Oreochromis niloticus: one gene and its partner. The protein of the gene in region 1 purifies or fractionates together with the protein of each later gene. This does not show direct contact. Links are inferred from orthologs where the notes say so. Each region holds a gene or a part of one and is shown on either strand. Other genes may lie near its edges.

The links. Proteins that work in one complex are often made in the same cells at the same time.
Region 2: the proteins of psmd1 (region 1) and rad23b fractionate together in Homo sapiens (co-fractionation; 4 studies listed by BioGRID and IntAct, with this or other methods). This does not show direct contact. The link is inferred for Oreochromis niloticus from reciprocal best matches to the Homo sapiens genes PSMD1 and RAD23B.

The regions. Positions count from the first base shown.
Region 1 is NC_031980.2:35,588,545-35,596,388, forward strand, and holds the start of psmd1 (26S proteasome non-ATPase regulatory subunit 1), read right to left. Parts: upstream 3,013-7,844; 5' UTR 2,833-3,012; coding exon 2,817-2,832; intron 2,223-2,816; coding exon 2,179-2,222; intron 1,912-2,178; coding exon 1,838-1,911; intron 1,537-1,837; coding exon 1,367-1,536; intron 1,193-1,366; coding exon 984-1,192; intron 836-983; coding exon 692-835; intron 1-691. Other genes in the region: uncharacterized protein C2orf72, read right to left, coding at 4,045-4,142, 4,241-4,354, 4,898-5,663.
Region 2 is NC_031972.2:18,813,091-18,820,171, reverse strand, and holds the start of rad23b (UV excision repair protein RAD23 homolog B), read left to right. Parts: upstream 1-4,065; 5' UTR 4,066-4,208; coding exon 4,209-4,274; intron 4,275-4,424; exon of another isoform or gene 4,425-4,536; intron 4,537-5,149; coding exon 5,150-5,231; intron 5,232-7,081. UniProt on the Homo sapiens protein: Multiubiquitin chain receptor involved in modulation of proteasomal degradation. Binds to polyubiquitin chains.

The DNA of each region.
Region 1 (7,844 bases):
TAATGCGTGCCTTAAAGTGAACTCTTTTGAATCATGAGGATTGTGATTACATATAAATTTTGATCTTATCATTTGGAGTTTTCATTTCTCATAACATCATTTTAGTGGCTTTCAGCAGCCTTCTCCAGAGACATTAAACCTAACAATAACTTGGCGATCTTTGGATGCTCCGTAGAAACCCTTGGGTTTTCACCTGGCATCCAGATTCATCTGTATCAAGGAATTGTGCTTGCCAAGAAACGTATAAATTGGAATACCTCTTCTACGAAACTAGATTAAGGATGTTATCTTCTCTACAACTGGAAGAATCATGCATGTGTAAACCAGATATTCAGGGGAGATTTAATAGGAGATGAGGGCCTTTTCTTCAATAATACCATATTATCTCTTACAAGCTGTGATCTTTACTTTTTTCTCGGCCCCATTAGATGCAAAAATGTTTTTTATATATTTTTGTTATATTCTTGACAGGTTTTCTTCATGTTTGAGAACTTCGAGAGTCGCACTGTCTTCAATTCCCTCTGTACGTTTTCGTGCCTGAAAGCCTTTTATTTCTTTTCTGTGTTTGTGTATGCTGTCGCAAACAACAAATCAATGAATAAAACATTGGAGGGGGGGAAAAAAAGAAGTGAAATCACGATCACCCACGCCAGTTTCCTTGGCTAGGGTGTTAGAACAATCCATTTGTTACCTGACAGACATTGATGAAATCGGGTTTTTCCAGGTTCATGTAGAGTTTGACCAGCACCCTCAGCACGTCGTTACGGAACTTCTTGTTCTGCATCAGGGACATGCACACCTTCAAGCTGTAGGCAAGGAGGCCACTCACATCATTCTGGAAGGGAAGTGAAAAGAAAAAAAAATTCTTAAGATGAAACGTTAATAACCTTGAACAATCGACAGCAGTAACCAAAGTGTAAATCTTATTAAAACTTGTTATAAAGATCCAAAATAATCTCAAGTTAGCAGAGAACTGCACTGACTGATTCTAAGATGGTTTTCTCAAACATGTCCAGACGTCTTGTTTCCAGGGCGATGCCAATGGCCTGTTTATACTTGTGATCGTCTAGGCAACGCAGGAACATTTTGTTGACAATGCCCTCGAGACGGGGGTCTATGGTTTTCTTCTCTTCGCCCTCTGGGAGCTCAGTATTCTCCACCCGCAGCTTGGTGTAATGGTCGATGCATTTGGCTGCATCCGAATAACAAACAAAGATAACAAGTTATGTAGGTTAATATATTTATTTCATACATACTTTTCATTAGAAAGCAATGGAGGATAAACCTTAAGTCTAACATTACATTTTTGCTTTACTTTGCACTGGTAAGAAGAGAAGAAGAAGTTTCTCCCCCCCCCCCCACTCACCAATGATGGTCTCCACATATTCTGAGTCATCTGTGACACTGAAAAGATCTCCCGCACCAAGAGCATAATTTAGAGACTCTTCAAAGGCTCCAAGATGGTAGAAAACCTTGGAGGCCACCAAGGCTGCAAATTCTCTACTCCGGAAAGACTCATCCTCATATAGGACTTCACTGTGAGGAGACAACAACTAGTTACATAAAACAAAACTGGCAGGAGCCATTTTTCTAATCACCATTGAGTGTAAATTGTAGATCAGATCAGAGATGATCAAAATCATTCAGTTTTGCATTTGTTACTGGACTATGAGGGAGCTTTGAGGGAGAGTAAATACTGTTGTCAGTGTATCAACAACAGTGTACAGGGAGAGTCAGTTAAATCTTTAACCCCATAGAAATAAACTATGAGCTTAAGTTCCTGCTGACTTATGTTACAGTACTGTAATAACTATAATATAAGCTCTTTGCTACTTACATCTTATCCACGGATCCTGAAATCTCAGCCCAAAAGTCATTCACAATGGCATCTAGCTTGTGCAGAGCAAACTCCTGCAAGAAAAACAGACGTGTTGTTTAAACATTCATCTTTTTATTCACTTTTATGTAATACTGCATACCCCAAATGAGTTTACATTTATGTCATGTAGAGAAATAAAACACTGAGATCTCTAAGCAAAACTTGATGGGTCACACTGACAATTTACAAAAGTCAAGAGACTTTATCTCTGTCACTGTATCTCTTGTGGTGAGATAACAAGACATTAAAATCTCTCGTTACCCGTATATTCAATCGACTACCCTACAGCCAACTCTTACCTTAAGCTGGGGCTCATCCTCATCAAGGAGAGAAATAATTCCAGCTAGAAAACAAAAGAAATTATGAAATGGATGTTTACTTCATAAAATCCAAATACTTTTCTGTTCATCCAACGGTCATTTCAAATATTAAATACATTTGCAAATCAAAGACAAAAACTTTTAAGAATACATTAGATTACAATGGAGCCTGGGGAGATACAGAAGCCTAAAATATTGTTTTCTATTGAGGATAAAATATAATGTCAGCCCAAAATCCGGCAATTTGAAGATTGTTTTTAGCAATACCACGATGACAGCAGCATTTAGGATGTATTCAAACACATAACGTCCTCGGAAATTACGTCTCAGATGAAAGCAAAAATGAACATGTTTATCTATAACGATCCATGCTGACTGCTAACGTTGCCATTACTGTAATTTATTTCCACTTCCTCCATTTAAACAGCCTTGCAGTGATTAAAACCGTTTCGGAAGCACGGGAAAATCCACAATGAAATGTGTTTCTCCTTACTATAACTACTTTAGTGGTTTTATATGTGATCAACGGTCTATGGTGGGCTGCCAAGTATTAGCCGTGTGACTCAGCTAAATCAATGGCAACGGCTAACAAAATAAAGCTACCTTCAACTACTTACCGGCAGATGTTATCATGATTGGCTCTTCGGTCCCTCCTCGGCCCCGCTTATCCTAGTTTGACGGCGAAATTTCGTGTGATTTGGGGGAAATTAAAGAAAAGATTTGCAATATTTGGATATGTTTAACCACCGAACTGAACGCAGCCGCTGCTAACTTCTTTTTGTTCAACACCGCAAGTCCCTGTCTGAAGGACCCTCGGGTTGGCCGGCTTTTACTATGCCTGATTAAAAACGTAAAAAAAATGTATAAGATTCATGCTGGACTCATCAGTTGGACCAACATATACCAGTTTTATAACTAATTAGCATAAATATAACATAAATAATATTTGAAAAAATGTGGGGAATTTCTAATTGTAGTTGAATGTATCCGATTTTTACACTGGCACCTCAAATAGCGACCTGCCAGCCCAGCAGCTCTTCTACCTTTCTGTCAAGACAAGGCAAGTCGCTTACAAACAGCAAATAAGCACATCTGGCAATTAAATTGAGGTCGAGGAAGCCAAGGGCGGCGTGTTTTTCATGCAAAGTGATATGACAATACAGCTTTCAATGACCACTAGTTGTCACCCAAGCAGTTTTTACTTTATTGAAAGAATAGTCAAGGAGTATGTGTTTTAAAACAAAGCTGAACACTCAGGCAAGTCCAATGACGTTTATTTAAAGGGATGAATAAGTCAGTAGGCTACATAAATACAAGTGACATAAATCCTGTTACAAATATTGGTGGTCCTAAAAGTTGTCTCTAAGACACAAAATCCTAATGAAAATGAAAAATAAATTCTTAAGTAAAACACCCAGGATCCCTGTGATCCAATTAATACAGTTTTCCGGAAAATTAGTGCAGTTTTTCTTGGCGAGAACGTGACCTGGATTCAGGTAAACTGTGTGAGATTTCACATTTTAAGGCTTTTATCATGTCAGTTGATTTTGTTCTTTAATTCCCTGTATTTGACATACAGAAGTCCCCTGACAAACAGTGAGCCAGTAATCAAGTCCTGTATCATTTTATAAGAGTACTTATGCTGTAAGCCGTCTAATGCTTTCTCAACACGTAACAAACTAATGCATGTTTCCAACCTGACAGTCTTTGGGTGGCTTTGACATGACAAGAAACATGCTGGCTCATAAGAAATGGGTCCCTGAGCATCACAAAGAAAAATTGTAACACTAGCAAAGCACTGAGACCGGCTTATCTTTTCACAGTCTAAAAAGCACACAGGTTACATTAGCCGTCTCCTCCAGATGGTTCTCCATTCAGAGTTGGTCCAGTAGACAAGGCACGGGTTTTCAGAGGGATGCCCTCTTCTGCACTTTCAGCGTCACCTGAAAAAAGACAACTTGTGAACTTGCAGTGAAAATAACTGACTGCAGGACTGTGGTGCAGTTCAGGCATTTCTCTGCTGAAGTTACTTTGCAGCTACCTCTTTGCCCGCTGCTTGATGATTTGCTGTTTGGACCTCGGTCTTCTCTTCTCCAGTGGCTGAACCAACGTTGCAATGGCCAGAAAACTGGGTTCCCTTCACCCCTAGTATTATCTGAAAGGCGATAATAAGCGTTTAACAATGTGGCAGCTTTTCTAAGGGGGTGACCGTTTTGTGAATGCTCTCATTGTTCCCTGGCCTTTGCAGCCATGCCTGGGAAGAAAAATGTGTGCAGTGTGGTCTTGTGAGTGTCATGAAGTGGCCTACACAACAGAGTGAGCTCTCTCATTAAAGTACATTAAAGTATGTCCTTTATGGACTTGAATTGAAGTAGTGCTCTTTGGTGAGCATACAACAATCATATTATGAGTAGTGGAGGCTTCAGTATAATAGTTAACATATTATATCTTGGACAAATTATGCTGCTTGCCTCTTGGTGATCTAATATGCTGTACATTGTACAATTTTCCTATACTGGCCTGGTTAAATGTGCCAAGGTTCAAACTTCATGTTTACAAGCATGTGTCCTGCTGACATGGGTGTGTGCGGCTGTGGCAGATGGTCACACTAAATCATGTTTGTTTGTTTTTTTTTCCAACACGGCATGAAATAAATAGGCTTTTCTGAGGTTTTGCTACAAGTGGAATGTGTGTACACCTGCTGCTTGAGATGAATGTATAACTCTGCAGACGTTTTTCTTGATGCTGAGCATTCGGGTGTCTGTTTTCGGGATGAAGCAGCCGACCCATATCGCCTCTGATGCATGTTTGTGGAACACCGAGCGGATCAGACGCTCCAGAAGCTGGGCGCACCGGCGCGTCTCGGCGTTCTCGTCGGTTGTGCGGATTAATCCAATCAGAGCTGGCCGAGCGATTGTAACGCATTTCGTGCGTGCCTTTACATCCTTGAGGATCTCTTTTAAGCACACCTCGTTTGGAACTCGGCCAATGAAAGTCTGTCTGAAGATGAATATGATGACAGGGGAGTCTATCGCTCGCTTCAGGCTGTGGATGTTCGCCCTCCTCGTTGCTGTCCTCTGAGCATTGCTACTACCCGCTGGTCGTCTCTTTTTCTCTCTGTCCTCTCCCAATTCCAAGTCCTTGGGCCTCGCTGTTAGAGAATTTTCATTGCCCTTTCCAGTCTCCGCCTCGCTGGAAACGTGGTTTGTACTTGCTTTACCGCCATGATCGCTTGCCGGACTTGACTGGGGGCCACCATGGCCGTTTGCCACCAGGCTGCCGTTGTGAAACATGTCGCGTACGAACTCCTGCAATATTTCGGCGTCATCCCCGTCCAAATCTTTACTTCTGCAGACATCACTCACCAAATAAATCCTCTCTCTACCTCCAATTTTCGCTATAGTGTTCTGGAACTCCCTCTCCTCGTCCGGTAGCGTGTCCTTCAGTGACTCCTCGTCCGCCATCCTTGCGCAATTTAAGCTGCGCCGATCTGTTTTATTTACATGAATCGTAAATCCATTGCCGGAGAGTGAACCGGTGAAACTTGCTCACGGTCATCAGCGGGAAGGGTGTGTGTGAAGAGGAGGAGGGTGGGGGGGATCTATTCGCATTTGTATTGGCTGATCCTTTTAGTGGGCGTGGCTAAACGTCAATAACCAAACAACAGTAGCTTGATAATGAAGTTAATCTTTAATGGATAACTAGACAGAAATACATATTGGAAATACATTACTACCAATTATCCAAGAATATCATTTAACAGCAGTCAGAGGGGCTCAAAGGGGAAAAATAGTTCAGTTTTTTCCCCCTAAGAATTCCTTATAAGTATTTAAAGGTTGTGGGGTAAATGGTGGATATTTAAACCTCAGGGTGTAGACTTCACTTTCTTTATTCCCACTATTCGCATGGAAAACAGTCCCGACTTCTCTCCAGAGTCATAGATTCTTATCTAAGTGGAAAAAAAGAAATGACAGAGAGCACAAAAGTTTATTTGTCTGACCCACTTTTGTTAAAATAGCAAGTCTGGAAGTATTTGACTTCATTATGAGATCAAAAAATGACTTTCACACTCAAACTCCTCTCTACTTCAACAAGCTCATGAGTACTTCAGACTAATCCTTTAATCCACCCACGCTTGTTCCTCAAATTAAAAGGTGCTGTCAACCTAAAATGCCATTGAGTTCATTAACTGAAATCCAAGTGGAATAACTTCAGCTGCTGAGTTTGTGTGAGATTGTTTACTGATGGATAATAAACTATAAAGTTGGACCAAAATCAATGCAGAGGTTTCAGCCTTTGACCTTTAGACCGGCTGAACACTGATTAGGTGAGTGGTGCACTTGCTTCGTCATGTCTTTGCAGTGTAACTGAACAGTACAGCTTTAAGCGTTTTTTAGTTAAAACCTGTTATGTACAAAATACACACGATACTGTTACTTTTTATGCTTATAGCACAACCACCAACATTTCTCTCCCAGCAAATTCAAGGTCACATTTGTGATCATCGTCGTCTTGCGTACATTTCAACACTTTGGACAGTTCCCACAGTACTTTTGTTGTGTATGCTGGAGTCAGTCTACTGACCTTTTCAAACTATGAAAAGAGAGACTCGGGGTCAGGAAGCCCACTTTGACCAGAGAGACAGACACGGAGACCCAGGTGAACTGCAATAACATGAAGTCCAAAGCGAAGTTCAAAACAAGAAATTGCACTGTTATCACCCTTGAAAAGTTGCATCAATTTTTCTGCACTTTTTACATATTGTTGAAAAAAGCCTCATTTCCAGATAAGTTCTGTGCAGAAGTCTCGAGCCATCCCTCATCAGGCTTTCTAAATTTCTAAAATGGCAGTGATAACACAGTTTGATTAGTCTGAGGAAACTGGAAAGGCGAAGGACCAAAGAAGACGCTGAACATCTAAAAAAATATCTACAACAGATTAAAGCATTTGAAATGCCCTTAAGAAATAAGAAAAAAACAAATGCCAAAATACACAAGAACTGAACTGAAAATCAGTGGCAACATGCCTTATGGAGTCAAATCATCATCAGTATGCATGGAGGAGGTCAGAGGACCAAGGGCACCAGTAAAACACAGTGGAGGCTCTGTCATGGGGATCTTGTCAAAATTGATGGAATTATGAATAAAGAAAAGTACCATCAGATTTTGATCCACCATTCAATACAATCTAGAAAACATCTGACTGGCAGCAACTTCATGTTTCAGCAGGAAAATGATGCCAAACACGCTGCAAATGCAGTAAAAGCATACCTGGATAGACAAATGAGTGCATCTGGTTATTAGATATTAAAAATAAGCCTGTTTATTTACTCTTCTTTTTACATGCCTCACTGTAACTCTTCAACACATTTTCTTAAAAATGAAAAAAATCAACAGCTTTTCATTCCAGCTTACTGACTCAAGTCAGGTCACTCATTTCACAAGAACATGATGCTTTTTCTAGTAATAATAAACCAGTGATAAACAATGACTAAGACTTCACTCTTTCTGCACTCTGACCACAGCTGCTCTTTGAAAGCATTTTTCCTCTGAAAGAACACACTTATCCTGCAACATTTCTTCTTGTGATTTTTTTTATTATTATTTTTTAATCATGTAATTAGAAACTTTGGAGTTTTTCTTATT
Region 2 (7,081 bases), on another chromosome or scaffold:
TTTAGCCATGGTTGATGAGAAGTTCTGGGACGTTTCATCTTTATAGGGGCCACAGTATCTAAGATGGAACAACAGGTGGATAGCATAGCGTTGGCAAAATCATCAACCAGTGGAGGTGTGTAACAGTTAATATCAGTGAAATCAGGATCAAAAAAGGCAAAGTTTAGAAAGGTCGTAATGAAGTTAGCCACAGTCTCAGAATTAATGATACGTACAGGGCGATGACAGCCTTTAGAATTTAAATCAATTGCACATAGCTCAACATCAAACATGACCAAAAAATGGTCAGAAATACCAGCATTATCAATGTCCATAGTAGAAATATCCAACGCATATGAGAGGACCAAATCCAAAGTATGGCCTTTAAGATGAGTTGGTTCCCTGACCCACTGTGTAAGGTTAAAAGAGTCAATTAGGGCAAGAAAATCCTTGGGTAGGGGGTCATCAGCACAACAATTCTAGGGCATGTCCATCTTGGTTTCATGAAGTCTTTTTAGTTAACCAAAGAAAGAATTCTGCGATCATCCACTTCACTTATCTTCTGTGGTTTTCCAGCCCTTTTGGTGTTGCTGATCTGGTCAGAGCATTCTTTTCCTTCTTTTTTTTTTTTTTTGCACAGGATTTATTGTAATAGGCTGCACGCTGCCATCAGCCCCGGCTGTGTGCTTGGGGATAATTAGCAAAACTTGGCACACCTACATGCTGCACTGAAATAGTGAAGATTATTTAAAAAATGCAGTGGCTATGTCAGCATCATCACTGTGTGCATTTTAGCTTACACTGCATGTTGGCTTTATCTGACGGTGCCAGCCACCACCCAGATCCGGAAACCACCAGCAGTAGACATTTCACTTTCTCAGATGGAAGTGAAATGTCTACTGCTATTTGGATTCTTTGTTCACACATCTGGTGAATTATATTCTGTGCTTCGTAAAACTTTAATGGTTGGCACTTAACTTTAGAGCAGTGTACTCAGCAATGTTTCAGATTTCCAGTGTAACACATCTACACAGCCCCAGTACCAGCCAATAACAGTGCCTGCACCTTGTTCGCAGGAAATAGCTTTGGGCTGAGAAGGCATCTCAGTGGCCTTCAGTCTGTGTTCCACCCTTCCACCCTTCTCTCTCTCTCTCACTCTCTCTGCGCTTCTACACCACTCCACACCCTGCAACAGCTCTGCTGACCAAAACCACAGATCCCTGCAAATACCAGTTGTGTCTGTTGTGTACTTGTGTGAGTCCTTGTGTCTGTTTATTGCACATGTATGAAATGCTGCAGCTCTGGATGCCACAAGTCACCGACACCGAAGGTACATTTAGCTACGCTTTCATGTTTCACGAGCTCCTCATTTTCTCACCATTACATTGGATCACCAAGAGGCACCACTCTGACTGCTCCATTATCGCCGTCTTCCTCCAGAAAGCCTTTATTTTGCCGCATTTCCTCTCCTGCCTGCAACGTCTTGATTTCACATGTCTAACATCATCTCTTAAAAATATCTTGAAGTCACCAGGGATCAGACTGTAATCTCTGTGGCTCTCCACTTCAGAGGGGGGCTGACGGCAGACTGACGACCCCTGGAGACAGGAGCAAGAGTCACAGCCACAGTGGGAGAGGGGAAAGGAGGACACTATTGCTTCTCTTGCGGCTGCTGCTGAGTGGAGCAACATAAGGAATGCCTGATGAGCGCACGGGCCAAGGCAGGCGAGGGCACTGCCCCCGTCGTAATAACTGGATGATAGAGCGAGAGGGAGAGGATTGAATGGAGAGATAGAGGAGGGGAAGGCAGGATACAAGAGAGGCAGAAGGACAAAGGCAGTTGAGAGGAGTGGTAGATAAGGACAGACAGAGTCATACAAACAGTCATTGCAAGTAAGAGGGAGCGATATAAGAATAAGGGGAAAATGGCCTGGGGAAGAGACCCCATCGGCCTCCAGCATATTATCTCTTGCACTCAACAGTCCTGTTTAAAGTCAGGGCTGGGCAGCTGGACGATAGAAACCAATAAAACCTCTGAATGCTGAGTGCTGGATGGGTGATATTGAAATTCCTCAATGCATGCCAGAAGGACCTGGGATTGTTGAAAGGTTGATAACAGAATAAACTGCCAGCTCATGTTTAACAAGGAGAGCAAGTTTTTCCCAAAACGTCAGTCTTGAGACAAATGTAATGAACAAGCAGCAAAAACATTCAAGTAATGCATTGCATGTCAGTGGTTACATACTGCAAGCCTTCGAGTCTGCTTAGATGATGTTGTCCCTGCTTTGAAAACAATTTGCATCTAATTTGAAGAGGTTAGTACTGTAGAATAAGAGTGTGTGCAACAGGCTACAATGACCATTGAAGGATTAAATTGAAGATATAGGCCTTTTTGACTTGTTATAATGGCTTACTTGGGTACTTAGTTAGTTACTATTTTAATTTCATGTGTTTGTCCTGTGGTGACAAAGTAAAATGTATACCATGAAAAAAGAGCTGTTATTGCACTGAAAATTGTTTGTGTGTCTATTGAACTATCCCTCATTTATATTCATATTTTACAAGGAAATGGGAAATAGCTGCAGCAATTTATTGAAACGCATGCAGACATAACCAGAAGTAAAGTATATGAGACGAAAACTGAGTTTGTAAAATTCTAATGACTCTGAAAGTCAATATTTGGTATGACTGCCTTTTTCTTCAACAAAGCCAGAACTTAGGCAAGCTTTCTTGAAATAGCCTTCAGGAATCGCTCTCCCGACTTCTTGAAGGACATTCAAAGCTCTTCTTTGATCATGGTCATGCTGAAAAATGAAGCCTGCTGAATGAATGCTTTCCAGATGGTATTGCACAGTGGATCAAAATCTGGTGGTGCTTATCTGTGTTCACATTCAATTCATCAATTTTGACAGATGGTTGTAGATACTCTCTCCTGATCTTCTTCCTATATTCTGTTGCAGCTGATTTTCAGTTCGGTCCAGTCTTTTCTCCCTCTTTCCTGACGAGGCTTCGGTGAACAGTAGATGGATCAACAGCTATCAGACCTGTGTCAGACCTATGATTTTTACTTCCTATTTCTTAAGAACATGACTTTCAGATACTGTTCATCTGCTGATATGTTGGGTTTTTTTTTTTTTTTTGCTTTGTTTTGTTTTGTTTTTGGGCTTGGCACATCTTTTTTTCCTCCACTTGTCTAGTTTCATCCAAATCTTTAAGGACACAGTGCACAGCATGCTGAGATATGCCAAGTTTTCAGCTCATAGATCTTTGGGACTCATCTCATTGGTACAGAAATATTATTTCATGCCTGTCAAACTGTGTTATCTTTGGCATTTTTTGTAGATTCAACTAAAGAAATGGGAACAAATGATGTGCTTTTGTGACAGGCTGCTAGTAATAAAGTGCCTAAAGATACAATTTAATACAATTTGCCAAGTTGTCTGTTACGTGTAGAAAGACACTGGTTCATCGCTCGAGTTAGGTGTTTTATTGTGTTTAGTGAGTCATAGGTCAGTTAAGTGCTTCAAGAAACAAACAAACAAGCAAACATTCCCCTGAAAATGGTCAAGTAAAAGGACTAAACATGAGTGAAAAAGCAGCCATTGTCCAAAGAAAAACTTTAAATGACCTTCAGAAAGCCAAGACCTGCTCAAGACCACTTTGAAAAAGTATAAGAAAGTCTGGCTCTTTGGAAGCAAAATATAAACTAATGACAGGTGACTCTGGACTTTTGCGCAGTACCTTACCCTGTACCTTACCCTGTTTTCTGTTAATTCACATTCATCTGCAATTAATACTGAATTTGCAGGTATTTTAAATAGTCATGAAACATCAGCTCATAAAATATGTTTTTGCATGTTATTGAAATTGTAATCCACAAGACTCTGGGCTTACTTAAGTTTTTCTGCGCCATTTTGCCGATTATATTTATGTGCCTTCAGTTAATCAGCTCGCAGTGTTTCTGTATTGTAATACTTCACTGGAATCAAACGTGTTGGAAAACTCACCAACGAGCACACCTGAGCATTGTGGCCAATGCTCAGTTTACTGCAGTACCGAAGCAATCCACTAGGAGCGCTGTGCGTCAAGTATTTAACATAGAAGAAGAAAAGCGATACGTCATGGCGGCTGACAGTTTACGATGATTTAACGAAAACAGTAAAGACTCGTGCAAGTTGGATTTAAAGCGTTTAAACCGGACCCAGGAATAATAAAACTCCACCGACAAAATGCTAATAACTTTGAAGACCTTACAGCAGCAGACTTTCAAAATCGACATCGATGAAGAGGAGACGGTGAGAGTTAATAATCATGCATTTTGTGACAGGGGAGTGGAATGGGAGTTGAGTATGTCCTGAAATCGACATGATTTGTTTTGAACATTTCCAGTTTGGGCGTTTTGTAGGCAAGCCTGGGTAGTAACGTAAGATTCTTTTTGGATGCGTCTGACCTGCATTAGAAGTTCGGCTTAATCCAGATGCGTGTTATTTTTAAAAACCAATCAGGAAATTGTTTTTGTTGTCAGCATTTAGCCGTAGCCCACTTAAGGCTCCAAATGTGAGTGTTACGGGGGGGCGGGGTGGGGTTGACAGGTTAGCTTGAACCTTACCATTTTAGTGTTTCTCGGTCTTTTTCTGTTAGCTTGTAAAACTTATTATAATTGGAACATTTGGGTTAAGGTAAAACAAGAAAACGTTTGTGCCATTTAGAGAAAGTAGCGTTATTTAAAGTCATTAAAACATTTTGTACTTGTTATTAAGCTTGTATAAACTCTCTTTTGTCTTTGGCCAAATATATAAATCTGTGAGCTAGCGTTAGCTTTATCCGTCGGCTGCTGAAGGCCGGCTGGGTACAGCACATCTCATTACAACTTTCTTTAGTGCAGACACTTTTAACTTTTACTTTCGACTTCTTGTATGCATATTAGTCGCCAGATTATAGGTAGCGTTGCACTGCTTTTAAATGTATGGTTTTGCATAATCACCGATGACACCGCTGATGTTCGCTCAGCGTGTAGTTTTATAATTGTGCTAGCAGTTGGGTCACACTTTGGACTTTTACTCCTGTTAGCGTTGCAGGGCTGGACAAAATGGTTCCAGTAAAAAATGTTAATGGTTTTGTTGGTAAGGGATGAAAATATGAAGTAAAAGTGTATATGTTTATTTCACAGGTGAGGACATTGAAAGAGAGGATTGAGCAGGAAAAGGGGAAGGAAATTTTTTCAGTTGCCGGACAGAAACTGATTTATGCTGGTATGTTATATGCTCTTGTATCTTCTTAACTAATTTTCTTTCTTTCTTCAAGGAAATATTAATTTAAAAAAAAGAAGAATTTTATTCGTATAGCCCTTTTTAAGCACACAGTTACAAAGTGCTTCAAAGTTTGGATAAAATCACACATTAAAGATGAGTGTACATAATCAAACATGCAAACATTGGCTTACATTCAGTCCTACATACACACAACTCCAATACACGCATAATGAAACATGAGTGAACGATTAAGGAAACACTAACAGTCGTTTAAACAACACTGGTCCAGAGCTACAGCCTCAAAAGTATGATCACCTTGAGATTTAACATGAGGGCAGGGAACTGTTAAAAGACCCTGATCAGATTATCAGAGGTTGACTGCTGTTATAAGGTCTCAGTAGTGTTGCTATATATGCAGGAGCTGATGTTTTCTTTTTCTTTTTGAGTTGTAGGTTGTAGGCTAGGGCTTTTTTTTAGATTTACAGTTCAATGAAAGACGACCATTGCAGAGCCGCTGTTGAGACTGAAGTCCCAGTTTTTGTTGGTTTTTGCATCTATGCTTTTAAACCATTATTGGTATTTTAGGCTCTAGTCACACAGACGTAGAGCTGGGCGATATGACCCAAAATTCATATCTCGATATTTTTTAGCTGGATGGCGATATAAGATATATATCTCGATATTTTTTTAAAGCCATAAAGTAAGAACAAAAAGAGAGTTCTTAGTCAAAGCTGTGTCCCAGATGTCACACGGGCACTTTTATTAACATACAGCATAGATGTACATGAAAAAACACTACTCAAAAATAAATTATGAGCATTTATTAAATAATGATGCTCTATAAATAAAAGAAAACTATGTTGTTTTGTGCATAACAAAGAGCTCACTATTGTGCAGTCAAAATGTAAACTAAAAGACGCTGAGCATAATAACATAGACAGATTTCACAGCTGCTCTGTTCCCAACTTCTACTGCATGACTGACAGCCTGGAGTTTGAAATCCGCTTCGTAACCATGTCTCTGAACAGATGCCATTTATGGTCCTTATACACACACAATACGGTAATATTACGTTGAAGCACAGTACGTATTACTCCGCGAGGCTCCTCGGTAGCCGTAATGCTCCGACAATCCGTCAAGCGGTACAGCTCCGTAACTTACCAAAGTCGAACTAAAACATTTTTTGACAGATTGCTGAGCGCTGTGTATCACATAAAATCGGTTCGCGGTCATCAAGCACAACCAGAATTCATACAAAAGGCGCGCAGTCAACTTTTGAGAAAATGAAAGGATTTCAGGCCGTGCATGGCGTTAGCGTGGCTAGCTCGTTAACACGTTGACGCCGTCCAGCCCCACGCACGGGGCGACGCGCAGTAACTCATTAATGGAGATTTGCCGTGTCCATCTTGTCGCTGCCTGCAGGTGAAGCAATGGGGGAGGAGGGGGAGTTGTGTTCAGTGAAGGAGAGGCGAGGTCGAGTAACGTTGCGTAAAGACAAAAGTGGACGAAAGAGAGGCAAACTTGCGGCTCCGCAACTATAATTATAACGTAACATAGACTATATCAATATAAAGGATATTGTCACATCTTATATCTGGTATAAAAATAAATCGATATTTTTAAAAAACTCGATATATCGCCCAGCTCTACACAGACGTAATGACCAGTTAGCAACCTGCTGTCAGCGACCCACTGGTTATCACCTGTTGCTAGGGAAAATGTGCATTCCCCGACCAGCTGGCAAGTGGTTGCAGGATGTTACTGGCAGTGGCTATATGGAATTGGTCACAAAAAGGTATTCAGTGCTGCCCTGAGAACCTTTGAACTTTAGTCACTAAAGCCTTGATTAT